Linked DNA regions of Cricetulus griseus. The protein of the gene in region 5 interacts with the protein of the main gene of each other region in a pairwise test. Links are inferred from orthologs where the notes say so. Each region holds a gene or a part of one and is shown on either strand. Other genes may lie near its edges. The genes, in order: Was, Khdrbs1, Sos1, Larp6 and Itsn2.

What was found.
Region 1: the proteins of Itsn2 (region 5) and Was interact in a two-hybrid assay, tested with the Homo sapiens proteins (2 studies listed by BioGRID). The link is inferred for Cricetulus griseus from reciprocal best matches to the Homo sapiens genes ITSN2 and WAS.
Region 2: the proteins of Itsn2 (region 5) and Khdrbs1 interact in a two-hybrid assay, tested with the Homo sapiens proteins (2 studies listed by BioGRID and IntAct, with this or other methods). The link is inferred for Cricetulus griseus from reciprocal best matches to the Homo sapiens genes ITSN2 and KHDRBS1.
Region 3: the proteins of Itsn2 (region 5) and Sos1 interact in a two-hybrid assay, tested with the Homo sapiens proteins (2 studies listed by BioGRID and IntAct). The link is inferred for Cricetulus griseus from reciprocal best matches to the Homo sapiens genes ITSN2 and SOS1.
Region 4: the proteins of Itsn2 (region 5) and Larp6 interact in a two-hybrid assay, tested with the Homo sapiens proteins (2 studies listed by BioGRID, with this or other methods). The link is inferred for Cricetulus griseus from reciprocal best matches to the Homo sapiens genes ITSN2 and LARP6.

What each region holds. Positions count from the first base shown.
Region 1 is NC_048604.1:114,563,428-114,568,375, reverse strand, and holds the start of Was (wiskott-Aldrich syndrome protein), read left to right. Parts: upstream 1-1,823; 5' UTR 1,824-1,872; coding exon 1,873-2,004; intron 2,005-2,324; coding exon 2,325-2,465; intron 2,466-3,209; coding exon 3,210-3,296; intron 3,297-3,403; coding exon 3,404-3,506; intron 3,507-3,615; coding exon 3,616-3,657; intron 3,658-3,748; coding exon 3,749-3,802; intron 3,803-4,948. UniProt on the Homo sapiens protein: Effector protein for Rho-type GTPases that regulates actin filament reorganization via its interaction with the Arp2/3 complex. Important for efficient actin polymerization. Possible regulator of lymphocyte and platelet function.
Region 2 is NC_048595.1:23,297,602-23,301,796, forward strand, and holds part of Khdrbs1 (KH domain-containing, RNA-binding, signal transduction-associated protein 1), read left to right. Parts: intron 1-508; coding exon 509-655; intron 656-3,094; coding exon 3,095-3,228; intron 3,229-4,195. UniProt on the Homo sapiens protein: Recruited and tyrosine phosphorylated by several receptor systems, for example the T-cell, leptin and insulin receptors. Once phosphorylated, functions as an adapter protein in signal transduction cascades by binding to SH2 and SH3 domain-containing proteins.
Region 3 is NC_048600.1:3,663,029-3,667,223, reverse strand, and holds part of Sos1 (son of sevenless homolog 1), read right to left. Parts: intron 3,214-4,195; coding exon 3,132-3,213; intron 2,235-3,131; coding exon 2,112-2,234; intron 1,899-2,111; coding exon 1,795-1,898; intron 676-1,794; coding exon 453-675; intron 1-452.
Region 4 is NC_048597.1:172,245,970-172,250,164, forward strand, and holds part of Larp6 (la-related protein 6), read left to right. Parts: intron 1-30; coding exon 31-241; intron 242-3,535; exon of another isoform or gene 3,536-3,703; intron 3,704-4,195. UniProt on the Homo sapiens protein: Regulates the coordinated translation of type I collagen alpha-1 and alpha-2 mRNAs, CO1A1 and CO1A2. Stabilizes mRNAs through high-affinity binding of a stem-loop structure in their 5' UTR.
Region 5 is NC_048600.1:15,504,730-15,508,924, forward strand, and holds part of Itsn2 (intersectin-2), read left to right. Parts: intron 1-924; coding exon 925-1,091; intron 1,092-4,195.

The DNA.
Region 1 (4,948 bases), on a different chromosome or scaffold from region 5:
TCACAGAGATCCACCTGCCTCTGCCTCCCGAGTGGTGGGATTAAAGGCGTGCACCTCCACTGCCAGAGTGAGGGTCAGAAGTTTAATGTCATCCTCAGTTACATAGCAAGTTGAAGGTCATCCTAGACTAAGTGAGACTCCAACTCCCTCCCCCACCCCCAAATGAAAGAAGATAAAAAAAAACAGCCCCCAGATGAAAGAAAATAAAAACAAGTTGTAAGGTTCTTGGGGCCCGGAGGTGTCAATAGCTCTGTGTGTTTTGGGCACCATAAACTATTTAGAGAAGAGCTGAGAGGTTGGAGGAAGTTGGAGGAAGTTGGAGGAGCTATCTCAAATGGCAGCCTGAGTTCAGGAGCTGAGACCTTGAACCTGCAGGCATGGAGAGCCAAGAGATTCCCAGGAAGGCCTGAGAACCTCCAATTTAGAGTTTTTACCTACATCTGAGACCTGCTCAGCATTCCAGACTGCTTCCCCACACCTGAGCCCAACCCCTAATTGCCCTGCTTCATCAAAGGGGCAATGGAATTAGAGGACATGAAGGTGCATGGACAAGGTCCTTTCTTTCCTTCCTTCCTTCCTTCCTTCCTTCCTTCCTTCCTTCCTTCCTTTCTTTCTTTTTCGAGACAGGGTTTCTCTGTGTAACAGCCCTAGATGTCCTAGAACTCAGTCTGTAGACCAGGGTGGCCTGGAACTCGGAGATCCTATTCCTCTGCCTGCAGACTGCTGGGATTAAAGCGAGTACCACCACTGCTCAGCAAGATCCTGTATCCAATTCTCATCACCAAAAGTGGCGAAAATCAAACCTTCAAAGGTTACATACTTTTGAAAAGTCCCAACATAATTTAAAAATATCAATCAAGGGCTGGAGAGATGGCTCAGCAGTTAAGACCACTGTCTGCTCTTCCAGAGGACCCAGGTTCAATTCCCAGCATCCACATGGCAACTGGAAACTATCAAGTTCCAGGGGATCTGACACCTTCACAGCAATGCACATTAAAATAAAGTTAAATACATTATAAAAATAAAACAAATATTAAAAAAGCAATCAAGATGTTGTTTTAGAATTTATTTATACTGTGAAGTCCTTCCTTCCAGAATGAAGTTGGCTGGGCATTGGTGGCACACGCCTTTAGTCCCAGCACTTGGGAGGCAAAGGCAGGTAGATCTCAGTGAGTTCGAGGCCAGCCTGGTCTCCAGAGCAAGTGCCAGGATAGGCTCCAAAGCTACACAGAGAAACCCTGTCTCGAAAAACAAAACAAAAAACAAAACAAAACAGAATGAGGTTGATCAGAAGAAAGTAAAGAGGGAGCTACAGGAGGCAAGGGTAAATGATGAGGAAGTAAGCCATGGGCTTATATGTTGTTGGCGATGTTCAAGGCTGGAGATGGGGTCACTGCGCCATTGCAAGGAAAAGCTGTAATGCAATGACCCTTCAGCACCTGGAGCCTTGGACTCAACCCCAGGCCAGACTGGTGCTTTAGGGAAGAAGGAGATGACACAGCCTTGTGACTACTCTGAGCAGCGAACCCTGTAGAAGTGCTGCAGATGGCTTAGCTCTCAGCACCAACTAGAGCGAGATCTGAGCTTGTCAGAAGGAAATGGCAAGAGAGAGACAGAGAGAGGGACAGAGAGGGGGGAAGAGAAAGAAAAGGAAGAAAGGATCCCTGAGCTCATTACAAACATGGTTCTAGCTAGGCAAATGGAGGATGGCCCCAGTCAGTTCTACCGAGGAGGACAGGCCCTCTGGGGGCCCCTGGAGGACTTGTTTCCCTTGTGGTTTATTGCACTTCCTGTTCCCTTGCTCACTGCGGAAGTTCCTCTTCTTACCCTGCACCCAGAGCTTAGCCGAAGAGGACTAGGGCAGAAGGCACCATGAGTGGTGGCCCTGTAGGAGGCAGGCCTGGGGGTCGAGGGGGACCAGCAGTTCAGCAGAACATTCCTTCCAACCTCCTCCAGGACCATGAGAACCAGCGACTCTTTGAGCTGCTTGGCCGAAAATGCTGGGTGAGTTGGGGATCTCCTGGTCCTCCCAGTCTCCCTCCCTTTCCTCGTCTTCCTCTCTACCTCTTCTTCCCCCTTTTGCCTTCTCCTCTTACCCATACATCCCTGCTCCTTCTTCTTCCCATCATCCCTCTTTTCCCTTTCCCCCATCTCCTCTCCCAGCATCCACTTACCACAGTTTGTGGATCCCAGGACTATCTTGATATCTACCTTCCTCCTGGCTATAGCTCTTTCCCCCAAGCTCATGACAGCCTCAAGCAGGCAGGGGCCAGGCCTGGTTACCCGTGCACAGACTCCAGTGACCCCCTGCTGTCCCATCCTAGACACTGGCCACTGCAGTTGTTCAGCTGTACCTGGCACTGCCCCCTGGAGCTGAGCACTGGACCATGGAACACTGCGGGGCTGTGTGCTTCGTGAAGGATAACCCTCAGAAGTCCTACTTCATTCGCCTCTATGGCCTTCAGGTGACCCAATGCCCCACTGGACAGAAAAGCTAGTCTCCAACCTGCAAAACCAGTTTTTGTCCGTAGCCTCAAGCCCTTTTTCCCATCAGAACTCCAGAGCCAAAGACCAATACAAATCCCAAATTGTGTTTTCTCATTGGAGTCCTAGATGACTGAATTCAGAAGGCCCATGCCAGGGTCCTGATCAGCTCCACAAACTCCCCTGAAACACCACATTTCTACCTGAGCCGAAGCCTCAAATCTGTTCTGAATCCAACATGGTGAATATTTGTAGGCCTAGAATCTTTTTTTGTTTGTTTGTTTTGTTTTTTGTTTGTTTTTCGAGACAGGGTTTCTCTGTGTAGCTTTGGAGCCTATCCTGGCACTTGCTCTGGAGACCAGGCTGGCTTAGAACTCACAGAGATCCGCCTGCCTCTGCCTCTCGAGTGCTGGGATTAAAGGCATGAGCCACCAACGCCCGGCCTGTAGGCCTAGAATCTTAAATTCACGGCGTTGAGCCCTCAACTCCTACAAATGGTCCTCAAATCCCAGACCTAGATCTCTCACATCAGTGTCAGCTTCTAAGACTCTCTCCCAATCCCCCATACCAGACACCTAGACCCCAAATTCTGCTATTGAGCTGACGATCTCTAAATAAGACTCTAGGACACCAAATCTGGACACCACACTCCCTGATCAGAAAACAAAAGTCTGCCACCCACAGTGCCTGCATGCCAGCATGTCCCCCACCCTGCCCCTCTCCAGGCTGGTCGGCTACTCTGGGAACAGGAGCTGTACTCACAGCTGGTCTACTTCACTCCCACTCCCTTCTTCCACACCTTTGCTGGAGATGTAAGTGAGCAGCCTAGCCTTGGGCTGCAGTTGGGGTGTGGGGAGGCCAGGAGAAAGCCTGGGGGGTAGGGAGTGCTAGAAGTTTGCTGACCCCAAGGCATATATAGGACTGCCAAGTAGGACTGAACTTTTCGGACGAGAGTGAAGCCCAGGCCTTCAGGGCTTTGGTGCAGGAGAAGATACAAAAAAGGAATCAGAGGCAAAGTGGAGGTAAGGAGAAGCCCTTGGTGGGGGTTGGGGAGATAAGTTAGACATGTGAGGTGAGGCTGGAAGAGCCCCTCTTGTGGTTCTGACTCTCAGTCTACCTATTCAACCACAGAAAGACGCCAGCTACCACCGCCACCAGCACCAACCAATGAAGGTGAGTCCTCCAGTTCATGTAGCTGTTATAAGGAACTAAGCCAGAAACCTGTGGCAACAATGTAACATCTTAACTTCTTCCATTTTCCCAGAGAGAAGAGGAGGCCTCCCACCTCTGCCCCCACATCCAGGCGGAGACCAGGGTGGTGAGTGGTGGTTTTCTTTCTTTTTTTTCTAGACAGGGTTTCTCTGTGTAGCTTTGGAGTCTATCCTGGTACTCCCTCTGGAGACCAGGCTGGCCTCCAACGAGTGGTGCTTTTCATGTCCCTGGAGAGACGGTGAGGAGTTAGATGAATGAATAGTTGCATGAATGCCTAAATTTGTAAAGAGGTGGATGGCTGGCTAGGTGGATGGGTGGATGAGTGGATAGCCGAGCATGTTGATGGATTGGCAGCAGATAGAGGAGTAAATTGGAAGATGAACTGATGATAGATTATAGATAAATAAGTGAGTGGGTATTTGGGTAAATGGGTGAATACTTACTTGTATTCAAGTAATGAATGGATGGTCCAGTGAATTAATGAATGGGTATGTAAATGGATAGTGAAAAAAAGAAATGAGAGGTAGTGAGCTGGCTCAGCACTTGTCACTGAACCTGGAGACCTGAGTCCTATCCCCAGAATCCACACAAAGATAGAAGAGAACCTACTCTTTAAAATTGTCTTCTAGGCTGGGCGTTGGTGGCGCACGCCCTTAACCCCAGCACTTGAGAGGCAGAGGCAGGCGGATCTCTGTGAGTTCGAGGCCAGCCTGGTCTCCAGAGCGAGTGCCAGGATAGGCTCCAAAGCTACACAGAGAAACCCTGTCTCGAAAAGCCAAAAAAAATATATAAAATAAAATTAAAAATTAAAAAAATAGGGCTGGAGAGATGGCTCAGCCGTTAAAGGCTAGGCTCACAACCCAAAATATAAGAGTTTGGTTCCCAGCACCCACAGCTGTCTCTCCAGCCACCAAAAAGAAAAAAAATTAAAAAAAAATAAAGTTGTCTTCCAACCTCCACAATGTGCTATGCATGCATGCACATCCACACACATTTATATCATATACCCCATATACAAAATTAAATCACAAAAATGAGATTAAAGAATGTAATATTCTACCCAGGGAAGATTAAATAATCAAACAAATAAATAACTTAATAAGCCATTTAGCCTACCAGCCAGAGAATGAATGAGTCACTACCTGAATGATAAGCATATATGAATCAGTGACTGAATAATTTTGGGGACCCATCCACCTCTTCATAGGCCTTGTCAAGACTTCTGTCATTCATTTCCTCCATGACCATCAAG
Region 2 (4,195 bases), on a different chromosome or scaffold from region 5:
GCTCTTTCTTAACTGCTGAGCCATGTCTCCAGCCGGAGGGCCTAACTTTTAGGTAGTTGTTTTTTTTTTTTTTTTTTTCCCCCTTTGTCCTTTAAGATCGATTGCTAGATACACAGAATGAGTATGTTATTTTAGTTGATGAGGTTTCTAAGAGATTCTCTTCTCTTCCTTGAACTCCTAGACAGTAAAAACACTTAAGCAGGACTGATGGTGATAAAGAGTTCTAAATACCGAACAAAACTATTATCTGAGTAGATTCTAAAATTAAGCTTTAGCTTGTTGTTCTTCAGATTTACTGCATTGAATGCTCCAATGTTTAAAGAAACAGTTAACCAAGTATAGTTTTAGCAGGTAATGTAAGTTCCAGTTTCTAGGACTTGCTTTACTTCTTTCTTAGGAGTTCAGGTGTTTTACATATTAAATTATTTCTGTCTCCCTTTGGCCTAGAGATAAAGGTGTTTTCTTTTAGTCTGTATATGATTTGATATTTCTTTGCATTTTTCCATAGGAGGAAGAACTTCGAAAGGGTGGAGACCCTAAATATGCCCATTTAAATATGGATCTCCACGTCTTCATTGAAGTCTTTGGACCCCCTTGTGAAGCTTATGCTCTTATGGCCCATGCTATGGAGGAAGTCAAGAAATTTCTAGTACCAGTAAGGAAATGCATATTCTTTATTTTCTGAGCAAGGAAGAAGCTAGGATCATACTGTTGAGAAGGCCAGGGTTCTTGACCTAGGGTCTGTACTTTTGTTCATCTTACTGAAGTTTTCCCACTACTTACACCTCATTCTCAAAGCACTGTACTCCAAAGCATACTTGTTTAATAGGACTTCATTAATACGTACTGGTATTTGTTGTCAATATTTTGGGTCCCTGAGGTGTTAACAATCTGTTTAACAAAGATTTAATAAGGGCTTCATTCAGTTCAGTAGGAAAATGATTTAAGGTAAATCTGCACTTTTATGTGCTATATTCTTGAATCTAGAGTTGATAACAGGAAGCTTAGAGCATCTAGTATTCTCATGAGATACACTGAAGGGTTTTTATGGTGGAGTTTTTATTCAAAGTCTGATTTAAAAGAGGTATATGTTACACACATGACTATTGATGGTATGTAATTTTTCTTTAATTGTTTGAGTCAGGGTCTCACTATGTATCCCTCTGCCTGGCCTGGAACTAACTTACTTTGTAGTCTAGGCTGGTCTCCAGCTTGCAGAGATCTACCTGCCTCTGCCTACCAAGTGCTGGGATTAAAGATATGTTCCACCATACCTAGAAAATGGTGTATAATAGTGTCACCTGATTATGGTAGAAGTTTGGGAATTCCCTGCCCGCCCGATTTTGGGATTTTTCCAATATATAATAAGGTATCTTGAGGATGGGACTCTAGTGTAAACAAAACACTGGTTTTTGTTTGTTTTGTTGAGAACCTCTCATGTTGCCCAGCCTGGCCTTGAGTTTGCTATGTAGCTGAGGGTACCCTTGAATTCACTGGTCTTCCATGCCCCTCATTTGCTATTATTAATAGCATGCACTGCCACACCTGATTTTTGTGTGTTGTTAGGGATCCAACCCAAGGCTTGTTCGTGTATGTTAGGGATGCACTCCACCAACTGAACTCTGTCTCCAGGTCTCCCAAATTTATTTATATTTACTAAATACTTTATACTAGACTGAAATTTCTTTTTTGTTTTGTTTTGGAGGCAGGGTTTCTCTGTGTAGCTTTGGAGCCTGTTCTGGCACTTGCTGTGTAGACCAGGTTGGCCTTGAACTCACAGAGATCCGCCTACATTGCCACCACCGCCTGACCTAAAATTTATCCTAATTGACAAATGTGACAGTAGAAGATACCTGAACAGTGAGCAGACATTGGTACTTGACCCTATCTACTCTTAAGTAGCAATGGTGTATAAGGTCAAGGAAAGTAGAGAGTTGCAAAAGACATTGCTCTACTATTTTATTTATTTATTTATTTATTTATTTATTTATTTATTTATTATGTATTTGGTTTCCGGCACAGGGTTTCTCTGTATAGCTCTGGCTGTCCTGGAACTCACTATGTAGATTACGCTGGCCTCAAACTCACAGGTCTGCCTGCCTCTGCCTCCCAAGTACTGGGATTAATGATATGTGCCACCACATTTGGCTTTTCTTGGGTAACCTTTAATTCCACTTTTCCAAGCCATGAGCTCCTTTGTTCACCCCAAACGTTAAGTAGTGTTAAATAGTAGTAGATGAATAACAAAATTGTGCTTGGGTCTAAAGATACAAAATGGCTCTTGAGGCTGGGGAGATAAACTCCATTCATAAAATACTTTCGATCAGTTTTACAAGACTGGGTTGGTTCTCCCAGCACCAACAAACATAAAAGTTTGGCATGGTAGTGCATACCTTTAGTCACATTGCTGGGGATACAGGAAGATCTGTGGGGCTTGCTGTATAGACAGTCTAGCCCAGTGAGTGGCAGCATTAGGGATTTTACTCAGGGCTTTGTATGTACTCTAGGCATACCTTCTACCGCTTAGCTATACCTTTAATATGTCTTGTAAGGGTCAGAGTTCCCAATTATACTGTGAGGAGATCTTGATGTGTCCCCTCATTTTGACAGAGAGAGCTTCATTAATGGTAGTGGCTTCTGTTATTCTAGGAAAAGTAACTTTAAAAATAATGTATTTGTGCAAATATTCCTGGCTATAGCTTATTTGGCTGGACTTGAGAAAGTTTTGTCTATAGAGAGAAGAGTGATGGGGAGAGCTAAGCAGGTACTTAACTATTTTATGAAGAACCTCCTCTATTAGTAAGGGCTGTCAAGACTTTCCTCAAAGAGGTGACAGTATAATATTGTTTGTTTTTGTTTTGAAACAGGGTTTCTCTGTGTAGCTCTGGCTGTCCTGGAACTCACTTTGTAGACCAGGCTGGTCCGGAACTCACAGAGATACGCCTGCCTTTGTCTCTGCCTCCTGAGTGAGTGTTGGGATTTAAGGCATGCACCACTATTCCCAGCTTCAAGGCTGTTCTTAAGCTCCAAGGCTCATGTGAGCCACATGATTTTTAGGAGATGTTACACATTCTTTGTTATCTTTAATTCCCAGGATATGATGGATGATATCTGCCAGGAGCAATTTCTAGAATTGTCCTACTTGAATGGAGTTCCTGAACCCTCTCGTGGTCGTGGGGTACCAGTGAGAGGAAGAGGAGCTGCCCCTCCTCCTCCACCTGTTCCCAGGTAAAAAAAAAAAAAAAGTTGAAAAGGAAATATAAATTAGACTGCTGATAGGCTTCTTACCTCTAGCTCAGGAGGAGTCATGGTTTAAATGGTATGTCAAGTGTAGAATTCTAGATCTTAGCAGTTTGTCCATAGACAAGTGTACAGTCCTACTCAAACTTTGGGGCTTCTAACTTTGGACAGTCCTAGCATTAAAAAAATTTTTTTATTGTATTTATTTAGTTGTGAGCTTTGGTGGGGGATATATATATGGGTGTGGAGGTTAGTCCTATCCTGTGGGTCTTAGGGATTGAACTCAGGTTGTCAGGCTTAACCAGCTGTTTGTTTACCCACTAAGCCATCTCACTGGCCCCCTAGTTGTCTTTTTCAATATGTAGCCCTGACTGACCCGGCGCTTGCTATTTTATAAACCAGTTTTCTAACTCTGAAGTGCTGTGACTAAAGTCTTAAGTCACCAAACCTGACTATCTAGTATGACTTTGGAATTTTACCTTTTCAGTTTAAAATTTATGCAATGTTCAGACAATTTAGAATTGTCTTGAGGTGGTATGATCCACTGTTGAGCCCAGAGAATCTTCTAGTTTAGGTACTCTTATGTGTGCATTATTCTGTGTTTTAATGTCTATTTTAGGGTTGGATATATGCCTCATTGGTAGAGAATGCTTGCCTAGCATGTGAAAATTTCTGGGTTTGATCCCTAACACTTTACAAACAGGGTATGGTGACACACAGTTGTAATTCCAGCACTTGGGAAGTAAAGGCTAGAAGTGAAAAGTCATCTTCAGCTACATAGTGAGTTCAAGACCATACTGGGTAAATATGAACCCTGTCTCAAAAACAAAGGGAAAGGTTAAAAAAAGGGTGGGGGGGCCAATCGAGAGATACAGGTTCTGACTTAACCAAGAGTCTACCTTTAAGAAATTTAAATTAGCTGGGTGTTGTGGCAATATACCTTTAATCCCAACAC
Region 3 (4,195 bases), about 12 Mb from region 5:
TAAACTATAAAGGGCTATAACCTGCTGTGACTTAGCTTTACCACAGTAGTAGCTATCTGTGGTACTGTGGGGAAACGACAGCAGTAGTTCTGTGTCCTGTGTTGTGCTCAGCCTGTGCTATTCCTTGGGCATGCACTGGAAACCTCACAGTCCTACAAGTTAGTACAGACTTTGGCCTCACTTTTCTTTCAGGAAACTTAAGCCAACAACTGGTACTACTATGATTTGAGCTTACCAAGCAGGGCTAACTGCAGAAAGAGCACAAAGTTAAGTAGATCAAGGGTGATCAAGGGGGCAAATGGACCAGAACTGCTTGCTTGCCTTAGTGCTACAAATATATCATATTACTGTCTCATTGACATCTCAAGACAACCCTAAAAGGCAGAAAATGTCTTCCATTTTTAAGATGAACTCTTGAAATAACTTCTCAGCTTGAATGTTGAACAACATACCGGTATAGATCTGATTCAAGCAAAGTGAGTTGCCGAGCAATTTCTATTGGGTGTAAGGTGAGCAAGTCAAAAGTCTCTATGTGCCCAGGTCTGCTTATGTGCCACTCAACTGTGGGAGGTGAGCTCTGAAATGTAATATTAGGACCTGGGCCATTGTCTCTTGCAATTTTTTTCCTTTGGATTATCTTAGTGATGGATTCGACCCATTTTTTCATTGCTTTACCTGAAATACATTTTAACAAACATTTAAATACTCTTTAATACTTTATTTTTAAATATGTTTAAAGTAATACAAGTGATACACGAATAAATCATTGCTATAAAGTCAAATGTGCAAAGTAAATACTAAGAGTTCCCCTCCCCCATCTTCTCATCCTTCTCCAGATAGGTAACCATTGTTAATAATTTGGCATGTATCTAGACCTTTCCTAAATGAATGTAAAAGGTAATTTGATTTTTCACCTCCAACACTTTGAACCTTAGTTCAAAATACTATTTTTTATAATTCTTCCATACAAGGTATATTCCATACAAAGATTAATAAATTACACACATTCACAAGTCTAATTAATATTGTATTTTATAACCCATTTATGAGGACTGATCGATCATATTAGTCTTATTTGATGTGGCTGTCTTTTGTACTGTACAGGAAAGTAATCTATTTAATCCTTTATTTTCTGATTTTCCTTTAGACTGAACAATGGCTATAAAACCAAGTTTGTCTAGGGCACCCTTAAAGTCACACAGTCACAGAATTTTTAAAGTAAAGGAAACTTTGTGATAATCAACCCTAATTTCTTATGAATAAACTGAAGTCTAAAGAACCAAAATTATGTATCTGGCTAGTAGTGATGGTAGGTAGTAGTAGTCTGTCAGTGTAATATGCTACTTGTTCCATTTACCTAATCATATACCTTTATCAGTGGTGCTACAATGGTTAAAAAACATTCCACCATCTACTGTAGGTAGCACATAGTTTCAATTAAGTGGTCTAGCTTAAACTGACACCTAAAAGACCCAGTTCTAAAACAGATACAAAGTATACTGAGTCAGCAGGATCACTGCTGAGCAATTTACAAGTCTCAATAATGGTTTTTTGTTATTGTTTTGTTTTTTCAGACCTAGTATCACTACTGTAGTCCTGGCTGTCCTGAAACACACAGAGATCCACCTGCCTCTGCCTCCTCAGTGCTGGGATCAAAGGTGTGCACCACCATACCCAGCCAAAGTGATGTTTGATGAGAAAGTTTAACATTTTCAAATGAGCTATAATGTATCAATTGAGGGTAATCATATTGGTAATTTTATCACATATGCAAGTAGGAAATTAGAAACATACCTCTTACAGTTCCAATAAATTCCTCCATTCTTTGTAAAAGGTCTGCATCTCTTTCAAAGTCATAAAAATGGTGCTCCACCCAGTGCCGACACACATTTAACACTCTGTGGCATTAACACAACTGGATTACATGGGGTCTTACACTGAGTGTACACATGAAACAAGAGCAGCCCTTACCAATAAACAATCTACTAAAGCTGATAACTCAGAGAAGACTCTTAACTAACCCACTTGGTCTGCCTCCTTCACCTGACTTAGGACTTTAAATGCACATTGAGAAGCTGTGGTTTCTATGAGGCCACGCCCTCACTACTCACCGCAGCTGGACAGGCTGAATGTACTCCTTTCTAAACCTCTTCAGCTCTGCACTCAGTGGCTGATCTCCATTTTCTAGAGCTATTCGATCAGCTTCTGTTGGCTCAGGCTCCGGAATTTCAAATCTACCATGAAACAGAAAAAAAAAAAATTAATGAAAATATTGTATCAAATTCAGATTCACAAACTTTTATTTATACTTATCAGTATAATCAAGAGACTACTATAAAAATTACTACAGATATACAAGGCTTTTATAATGTAAAGGCTGATTACATTTTTTTAAAAAGAAGTTAATATTGCCAACAGAGTTAAAACTAACTAGAAGCAAAATAACAACACATATAAAGTCTAAAACAAATGGGACTAATGTTAATTTTTAGTCTGTAGATTACTCTAAGGGTAACTAGTGCTTGAAACTTGATTGCCCTTTGGATAGATGAAAAACATTTTCCTTGATAAAAGCATTTGCTCACTGACAAGATTCATTTTTATTCAATATGTAGTATATTTGAAAATTTGTTTAGAACTTGTGAAGCATTAAAATCTGAATTTCTAGTGTGTCATTATTTTAAAGGTGTGGTTTCACGTAGTTCAGGGTAGCCTTGCACTCCCTATGTAGAGTCAAAGATAACCATGAACTCTGATTCTGTTGCCTCTACCTCCCAAATTCTTGGATTATAGGCTTATGTTTAGCCTAGAGTCTAAATCATACATATTTATATATTATTTAGTTCTTTAAATTTGAGCTGGGAATACTGCTTAGATTGAACCAAAAGCCCATGGCTCAATCCCAGTGTAGCCCAAACCCTGAAAAGTTGTAATTTTAAATACTAAATAAATGAGAAAAAAAAGAGAGAGAGAGAAATCTATTTAAATAATCAAAATTAGCATGGTTTTGTAAACCCAGTAGTAGTTTTATCTTAAACTCAACTACAGTTACACTTATTGCAACATTTTTAGGAAATATGTAACTTAATCCTTTCCAAATCAAAGAATTCAGACATATAAAATGGACAGACCGTTCTATTATAAGATTCAGTAGTTCTTGAGGTTTGCAAAAGGATCTGTATGTTGTAAGAAATGTCCGAACAAAATTGGGATCTGAAAAGGAAAAGGAACAGTATTAAAGTCTCAGGTAAACAATGATTAAAACTATTATTTTCAGTTTCAAAAGAGATCAAAGACTCAGTCTCAAAAGCGCCCAGATATTGCGAGGTGTTGGTGGCGTACGCCTTTAATCCCAGCATTCAGGAGGCAGAGGCAAGAGGATTTCTGTGGCTGTGATGACAGCCTGATCTACAGAGTGAGTTGCAGGACAGGCTCCAAAGCTACACAGAGAAACCCTTTCTTGAAAAAAACAAAATCAAAGCAAAACAAACAAACAAAAAATGCCCACATGTTTTACCCATATATGGCTTTGAACTTTAATGTATTGATACCTTTGGTGCCTCCTAAAGCAGTGGCTTTAGAAAAACAAAAACAAAACAAAACAAAACACTGATTGTAAAATATGATCAGCTGATTTCTTTTCCTGTCTCAAATTTATCATTGGCAAAGGAATGTGCAATGGAAAAAAGCAAGGACAGGGACTTGAACCAGGTTCCCTTTTGCTGCTAGGATCTCAATGTGTCACCTGTTGGGTCACCTACCTAGTAGAGATAGCAGTAACAATAGCCTGTCCATTTCCTGACATCACTTTAATTAACTATGTTTCCTAACTTCCGGTAAATCATGTTAACAGAGCAAAGAACTAGAAACAGAATCTTACAGAGTAGTAGGGTTAGCTAAGTAGTTAATGGTTTTGATTGCCAGAGGCCTTATTTTTAACTGCTAAAAAAGGGTCAAACCCCTCTAAGCTATAAAAAAGACACGAGATGGCTCAGTAGGTAAACGTCCTTTGCCATACAAGCTTGGGGTCATCGCATCCCAAAAGCTGTCCACTCACACACACACACACACACACACACACACACACACACACTGCTTGTGCCACACTCATGAACATGTGTGAACAGAGATCTTGTTTTTACTCTTTCTAAGCCTGTCATTTGAAGTAGTTACAATAAAAGTTCAAAGTTCAGTC
Region 4 (4,195 bases), on a different chromosome or scaffold from region 5:
AACTAACTCGCTGTCTCCCTCTGACCTCAGCAGTGCCACGACAAGTGGAGGTGAGAATGAGCGTGAGGAACTGGAGCCGGAGTGGAAGCCCCCGGATGAGGAGCTCATCAGGAAGCTGGTGGATCAGATTGAGTTCTACTTTTCGGATGAGAACCTGGAGAAGGATGCCTTCCTACTCAAGCACGTGCGGAGGAACAAGCTGGGCTACGTGAGCGTCAAGCTGCTCACCTCCTTCAAAAAGGTGAGGCAGGTGTCCCAGAGGCTGCTCATAGCATTTCAGGGGTGTGGGCCTTGTGGTGTTAAACATTTTGATATTTTGTTTTGTTTTACACCCCACCACCCACCCCCTGCCAAGGCCCTCCTGCCCAGCAAATTTTTAATTAAATATGATGCCTGAAAAAGAAAAATTATCAAGAGAAGGAATTCAGTGGTGATAGGTCCTAACTCAGGCGTTAAAGTGTTTACCATACAAGCATGGGGACCTGAATTTGATCCCCAGAATATACATGAAAAAGCCAAGCTTGGTTCCATGCCTGTAATTCCAGAGCTGGGAAGGTAGCAAAAGATCTGTGGGACTAAAGAGCAAGCCAGCTTAGCCTACTGGGTGGGCTCTATGCCAATGAGAGACTCTGTCTTGAATATAGATAGATAGATAGATAGATAGATAGATAGATAGATAGATAGATAGAGATATGGATAGATCCTGAGAGGAATGACACCCAGGACTGACATCTGGTTCCGATACACACACACACACACACACACACACACACACACACACACACACACACACACACACACACACACACACACGAGCATTATGAGAGCATTCCTGAGAACATACTTGCATGCTATGTAAAGTGTTCTGAGTGCTAGGATAGATCTCAGCTGGTGGTTAGTAAGAAATGCTGTGACTTCCTCAGTAATGTTTGGGTCTTCTTGCCAGGCACACGGATGCCCAGAGGATGCTACACCAGAACAAGGGGTTCTGGAGACCTTGAGAGATGCCTGTCAGTCTAGAATTGCATGACACCCACTCATGCTTTCCACTTGAGGAGCTGAGTCAGTATGGGATGGGAGAGAACACACAGAACTCAGTGAGAAAATCCTCCTCCGTGACTCCAGCATGCTCCGCTCTGTGTGATACCAAAGGGAACTCTGTGTACCAGAGTGATAGATGCTGAGGGGGCACTGGCAGCCACACAGGAGACTGCCCACCCCTGCTGTGGACAGATGCAGAACTTGGGCCCTAGACTCCGTGCTCTCAGAGGACTGACTAACCAGTTGGAATAATGACTCTGTATCTCCCTTGGGAGAAGTGTTTTTACTAGAATGGGAAAGCACCATGCAGCTTGTTGCATAATGGCTTATGTAAGGAGTGGGTCCCCAGAAGGAGTGGTCCTGGCCTAGATGCCTGTGCACTTTTTTTGTACTGGAGGAAAGCTCAACATCTTGCGGCTTGTCTCTGTCTGGTTCCCTGGTATGCTCTGCCTTCTTCATGGGCTCTTTTTCTTTTATTCATCTAATACCAAATGTATTATTCTTTGTATTTGATGAGTGTTGTGTTAAGTGCAAGAGGTACAAAATGAATATGGTATTCTGTCTTTCCTTGAGAGACTTACAGTCCAACAGAAGACAAGAGATCCATGAAATGCTATGGGATAACCACAGACAAACTGATGGAAGACATAAAGATATTTGGGGACTAGCTGATCAGAGCAATGAACTCTATCTAGAAAACTGAGATGTATTCTTGGAGTGATGGCGTTGGGATGTGGTCTTGGGGGATGAATAGGAATTGCAAGGTCCCAATGGGAAGGAATGCTTCATGTTCAGACAACAAGATCTGCCATGAAAAATACTTCCAGGGTTGGGGACTTCTGAATGAAAAAGCCAGTGGGATCCTCCCCAAGGGCTTCAAGAGCCACCCTGGTTTTCTCTTCTTTCCTAGCTGCCACTTACAGATACACTCAGGAGCACTCTCTCTTTAAAGCCAGCTGCAAGGTGGACAATTCACACACCCCCAGCTCACACTCCCCAGTTCACACCCCCGCAAGTCAGAGCACAGACTTTTTCCTTCTAGAAAGATTTCCCGCCAGTCAGAGGAACGTGTCACAGGAAAGCAACAAATGCAAGGAGATTACAAAGCGTTTGTTCCTTTCCTCATCACTGTGACAAAATACCTGACAAATGTGGCATATGGCTTTAGGTCAGTGTTGAAGGTGCACCCCATCCTGTCAAGTAAGGCACAGCAGCAGCAGTGTGAGGCGGCTGGTGGCATGGCACCCACAGACAGGAAGCAGAGCAGAGGAGTGCTGCTGTTCATCTTGCTCTCTCTCTTTTGTTCAGTCAGGGACCTGGCCCTGAGATCAGACTACCCATGTTTAGGGTTCATCTTGCCTCTACAGGTAAACCTTATGGAACCCTCCTCACAGACACATCCAGAGGCTTGTGTCCATAGAGATTCTCAATCCAATCAGGTTGACGATGATGGGCAACCATCACACAGAGTTTCTGACAGTCTGACAGAGTTCTAGAGTCTGCCCAAGGCCAAACTTCTTTCTTTAAAAAAAAAAAAAAACGTGTGTGTGTGTGTGTGTGTGTGTGTGTGTGTGTGTGTGTGTGTGTGTGTGTTAGTGAATGCATGTGTACCATGTGTATGCAGTACCCTCAGAGTCCAGAGGAGGACATCAGGTCTTCTGTAACTACAGTTATAGACCGTTGGGAGCCATCGTGTGGGTGCTGGGAATTGAATCCAAGTCCTCTACAAGAGCAGCCAGTGCTCTTTACTGCTGAGCCATCTCTCCAGCCCCCTGGTTTCCATTCTGATGTGATATTGGAAACTCGTAAAGCATCACAGACATGGACCTGAGATGCCCTTAGAGTAAGCAAGGTTTCCCAGGGGACCTGGCTCTTGCCTCTGTGTGTGCCCTCGTCCTCTACAGCTCTCCTCTCTGGTAGGACATGGTCCTCCCTAGTGCTCACCCTCCCTGGTAAGGCAGCACATGCTTCCCTGCTCTGACTTGACTTTGAGCCTAGGAGGGATTTCTTCGCCTCTCCTGCATGCTCCCTTCCCAGCTGTTTTCACAGATGGCTCCATCATGCTGGCCCTTGGCTTTCCTACAACCTTGCAGTCATCTTCATCCATCTGAACCCCTTCTGGATTTCTGATTGACTAAACGTTCACTAGAAAAACCCAGGCCTGCTTCTCTGACTCATAGTGATCCACCCAAGGACTCTTTGTAGGTGACCTAGGGTTTCTTCATGCTAATAATGAGAGGCCACAGGCCACAGTGAACAGTGTACATGCTCCAGCAGTGTGTCAGTCAGGACTGGGGCTCTGTGGAGGTTTCCCTGGCCTGTCCAAAAAGAGAGGCTTCTTTTCTTGCTTTCTGTGCCTTCTCTGTTTGAGTCCCAGGGGCAAGGGGAATTCCTGGTTCCTCTGCAGATCAGCCTCCTGGACCTGGCCTTGGAGGATTCTGGGTGATTTCCCCATCCAGGCTCAGGTTACCCACCCCACCCACATCCTACCCTTCTCTGGGATGACTCATGGCCCTGGCAGGCCCTTCACTGGAAGTGGGCTCCGCAAAATTGCCGTTTTATGAAATAAATATAGCTTTTCATATACTGCAGCATCAGTACACAAGGTTTCCATCATGGGAAGGAAGGGAGGAGTTGTTTCATCAGTTCTCAAGAGGCCCAGGTCAGTGTAATTCCATGTTCTGGTGTCTGTCCCCGTTACTCTTGGGGGAGGTTACAGCGGAACAGAGAAGATCTTTTAGAGGCTTCTCTTCATCAACTGTCAGTCACAGCTTCGGGAGACTGTCAGACCCTCCAAATCCTCTCAAAGTAGCAGCACATTCAGTGGTGACTGCCTCAGTCCCAGCGTTTTGGAGGCCTGGATTGGAGGGCTTAAGAGTTTGAGTCCAGCCTGTACAATAGAGTGAAACCCTGTCTCAAAGAAGAAAAACTCTGGGTTGGGGCTAAAGCTCATGGAAGACTGCTTGCCTGACATTCTACATTCAGTTCCAAGGACCACCCAAAGCTCAGTTGTCAAATATATATATATATATATATATATATATATATATATAGTGATAGCACATTGTTATTGGGTATTCTTGGAGAGTAAACTACTATTTTAAATTTTGTGTACAAATGTGCCTCTATTTTTTGCTATTCATTTAATCTCTCC
Region 5 (4,195 bases):
GCTCTACTGTAGTTGTAGTAAATCAACTAGGCAGCATGACTCTCGGAAAATAAGTAGGTTACAAAGTATGTTTTTGATTTAAAAAAAATCAGATTCTGTGTTGACAAATATACATAAAAATAGAAAAATAAAAAGACTTCTAAAACACAGTTTCTGTTTCTTCAAAGTTGTAGTAACTATAGGAACAAGACTCAAAGACAGTATAAAACTACAGACTTATCCCATGATAAGACTCATTTAGCATCTGCTTGTGCCAAGCACTATGCTAGGAGCTAGAGCTTTATGGCAGAACTTGTGTTTCCATAACTGTGTACAGAACAATTAAAGAACAAACATTAGCACATTAGGGTATATTTTACATTAAAGGTTTAAAGATTGTTTTGACTCCATTATCACCAAGTAGCACTCCAATTAAGCCTCAGTTCCATTATTTGTAGAGATACTATATGTTTGTAGTTTAGGATAATTTTTTGTTACCAAAAAAATGATTGACAAAGTGGGCAGGCCTTTAATCTCAGCTCTGGAGAAACAGGGTTAGGTGATTTCTGCTTCCAAGTCAGCCAAGGCTAGCTATATAGTGAGGTGCTATCTCAGACAAAATAAATGAAAGTAAAAGATTGACTATTGCTACTCTTGTTGCCACAGAGCCCACTGTCCCTGAAGTCTAAGCAATAATCTTTCTTTTCTTTAACAAAATAGCAGCAATTGGAAAAAAATGTAAATCCCTTGGTAAACTTTGTTAGCCTTCACCTAGATAATTATTAAGTAGTTGCTTTGGTTCTGTTTTCTACATGAAGACCTTGTTTGAAGTTGTAAGATTCACTGTCTTTTACCATAAACCTCTACATCTTAGAGATTGGCCCATTTTCTTTTGTACATCTGTAGTCTCAATCCAGAACATTTGCCTTTCCTTGTTCACTACAGAGTACATTGCACTTTATCCATACTCAAGTGTAGAGCCTGGAGATTTGACTTTCAATGAAGGTGAAGAAATATTGGTGACCCAGAAAGATGGAGAGTGGTGGACAGGAAGTATTGGAGAGAGAACTGGAATCTTCCCATCCAACTATGTCAAACCTAAAGATCAAGAGGTAGTGTTCTTTTCATTAAAACAAACTCATTCTGTTGTTACCAATCAGGATTCATGCTAATACAGAGATCTACTGTTTTGCTCAGGCTTCATTCATCACAGTGAAACTGCTCAAAGTAGCTCCAATTACATAGGTTTTATTTTGGGGCCCCAGTTAGAAGATAAAGAGCACAGGATTCATAGACTAAAAAGATCATAAGCCATTGATAGGACTGATCCTCATGGTCACTGACAAAAAGGACTGGCTCTAGAGTCCACAGAACTCCTGCCAGCTGACAGGAGTCTGCACCAGCACTGACTCCACTGGTCCACATTCTGGAGTTCCGCTGCTTCCCCACACAACCATTCTGATGTAATGTGGAAACCTGCAGGCTTTCTGTACTGAGGAAAAAAAAAAAAACAAAAAACAAAAAAAAAACTACAGAGGATCAGTGTGTGAGCTATAGCCCAGTGATCTTTACCATATTAGAAATTAAAGCTGAGCCAGGCGTTAGTGGCGCATGTTCAATCCCATAATCCCAGCACTCAGCACTCGGGAGGCAAAGGCAGGCGGATCTCTGTGAATTCAAGGCCAGCCTGGTCTCCAGAGCGAGTGCCAGGATAGGCTCCAAAGCTACACGGAGAAACCCTGTCTTGAAAAACCAAAAAAAAAAAAGAAGAAAAGAAGAAGAAGAAGAAGAAGAGGAGGAGGAGGAGGAGGAAGAAGAAGAGGAGGAGGAGGAGAAATTAAAGCTGAAATCATTTAAGTATTCATTTTAAATAATTAAATTCATTGTGTGAAAACATAAGAAGCTTTTGTGAAAAATAACTCAATTTTCCAAGAAAAAGTAAAAAAAAGAGATATATTATTTCTACAAACCTTTTATGGCTGCTGGTGTAAATGAGGACAGACCCCTTATCTGTCTCTGTAGTAAGTCTGGCTTTACACTTTCAGTGTTTTTCTTTTTATCATTGGGATAGGGTCTTACATAGCTCAGGCTGTCTTCATGTTTGGTACAAGTCCAAGACCTTGAACTCCTTATCTTCATGTATATAAGCCCTCCCAAGTGAAGATATTACACATGTCCATCACCAAGCTCAGCTTCAGTCCTTTTGATGTCTTCTTTTGGTTGAAATATATGAAGAACATACAGCCTCATACAGATATGGGGGTAAAAAAGTATTTTAATATTTGCAGATATCTCTTGGTAGTCTGATTCTACTACATCAAAATTTGATGCAGGGTAAATTGTTATAAATTAGTTGTAGCTCTAGTAATTTAATATCATACTGGTGAATGCTTTTATATTAAAATACTTTCATATTAAAATTCTTTTAATTTTATCCATGTTTACTTAGTATTAATCAACAATAAAAATATTTAATTAATTTAATACTCTAATATATTAATTAATTTGATAAATTAATATATAAACTTGTTAGATAAGTTCATTGTCTATTTGAATAAAATAGTCTGTTTTAAAATAAATTAATTTATATTAAAATTCATTTAATTTTAATGTAAAATATTTTATATTAAAATTCACTAGTCTGTTTTTCATTGTAAATATATCCTTTACTCATGTGAAAAATCGTAACATCATTCACTGTATTTAGAAACTAGTGGCTCACTGAGGTGTACAGATGTTTCTTGTATTGACACACTTTATTATATAATATCAAGACAATAACATCTGTAAATATCATCACTTGTCATAGATGTCTAACAGGCATGACTGATCTGAGGCCCTTAGTAGCACCTGTGGCATCGTATAACTAACCATGAATAAGGCTCAACCCATTAGTAGATGACAGCATCATGTCACGTTGTCGATAGGGTGGATTTTTAGGACTGTATTCTCTCTAAAATGGCCTCAGCTGATTTAAGAATAAAAGTTCTGTGACTTTGATTTGACTTTAAAGGATAAATTAGGGATGGGATCTGGCTCAGGGGTTAAGCCCTTGCCTCCAAGTGTGAGACCTGAGGTTCAATCCCCAGGCCCCAGTACTGCATAAAGAATTAAGTGGGAGAGGGGAGCTTGAATTTTAACACTGGCAAGAAACCCTGTAGTCTGTTTTCCTTGAAGTGGCAAGTATACTTAATTCATTTTGAACAAAATGTTTACTAAACCCTAAGTCTAAATATTTGTCAGTTCTTTGAAGTAAAAATATGGTTTGATGCTGCCAAGTCTTTGGCATTTTATTCACCATTGTAACGGTAGGCACAGCAAAAGGACCGTTTCTAATATTACCATAACAGTTGTTTTCACTCCATAGACTCCTAAGGGCACCCAGGGATCTGTGAACCACATACTGAGAACCAAGCTGCTGGGGCTGAACCTGCCTCTGCCACTTGAAGCAGATGACTCTGAACAGCCTTGCTTGTCAATTCCTCAGATTCATTCTCTGTGAAATAGGGACAATCCTAATTACTTAACAATGTTATTATAAAACTGACTAGCTGAGTATCTGTAACTGTGTAGAGCACACCTGCTGCATACTCACAAATGTTAGCTTTGACTTCAAACCTTCAACGCAGCTGTGTATCCTAATAGAAAAGAAAATCTCCTTAACCCCTCCCCTTTTTACTCAAGCTCCTAATAATAACAAATATGATCAGTTGAATTTATTCTTTGTTATTTTGCAGTACTGGAGATTGAACCCAGGGCCTCACAAATAGCAGGCAAACATTCAACCACTGAGCTACATTCCATTCCCAGTTTATCCTTTAAAGTCAAACAGAAGTTACAGTGGCTACCCACACTAGGAATTTCCTATTCTTAAATGAAATTCAGTCATTTTAGGAAGAATATAGCAAATAAACAAATAAATAAATATTGCTCCCTACTCAGCAAGAGCTACAGATGAGTCAGGGTCCCTTACAGAAAATAAGATTAGCTCATATATGCCTTCACATATCCCTGGGATATATACATTTTATATGCTTAGTGTTCATGCTCACCCCATGCATGAATAGGATAGCCCATGAGCTGGCTAGTTAGTCATCTGAGAGGAGCTTCAATTGAGAAATTGCCCCAGTCAGATCAGCCTGTGGGCAAGCTTGTTGGGCATTTTTTTTTTTGATTAATGACTGGGGGGCAGGCCATTGTGGGCTGGGCCACCCCT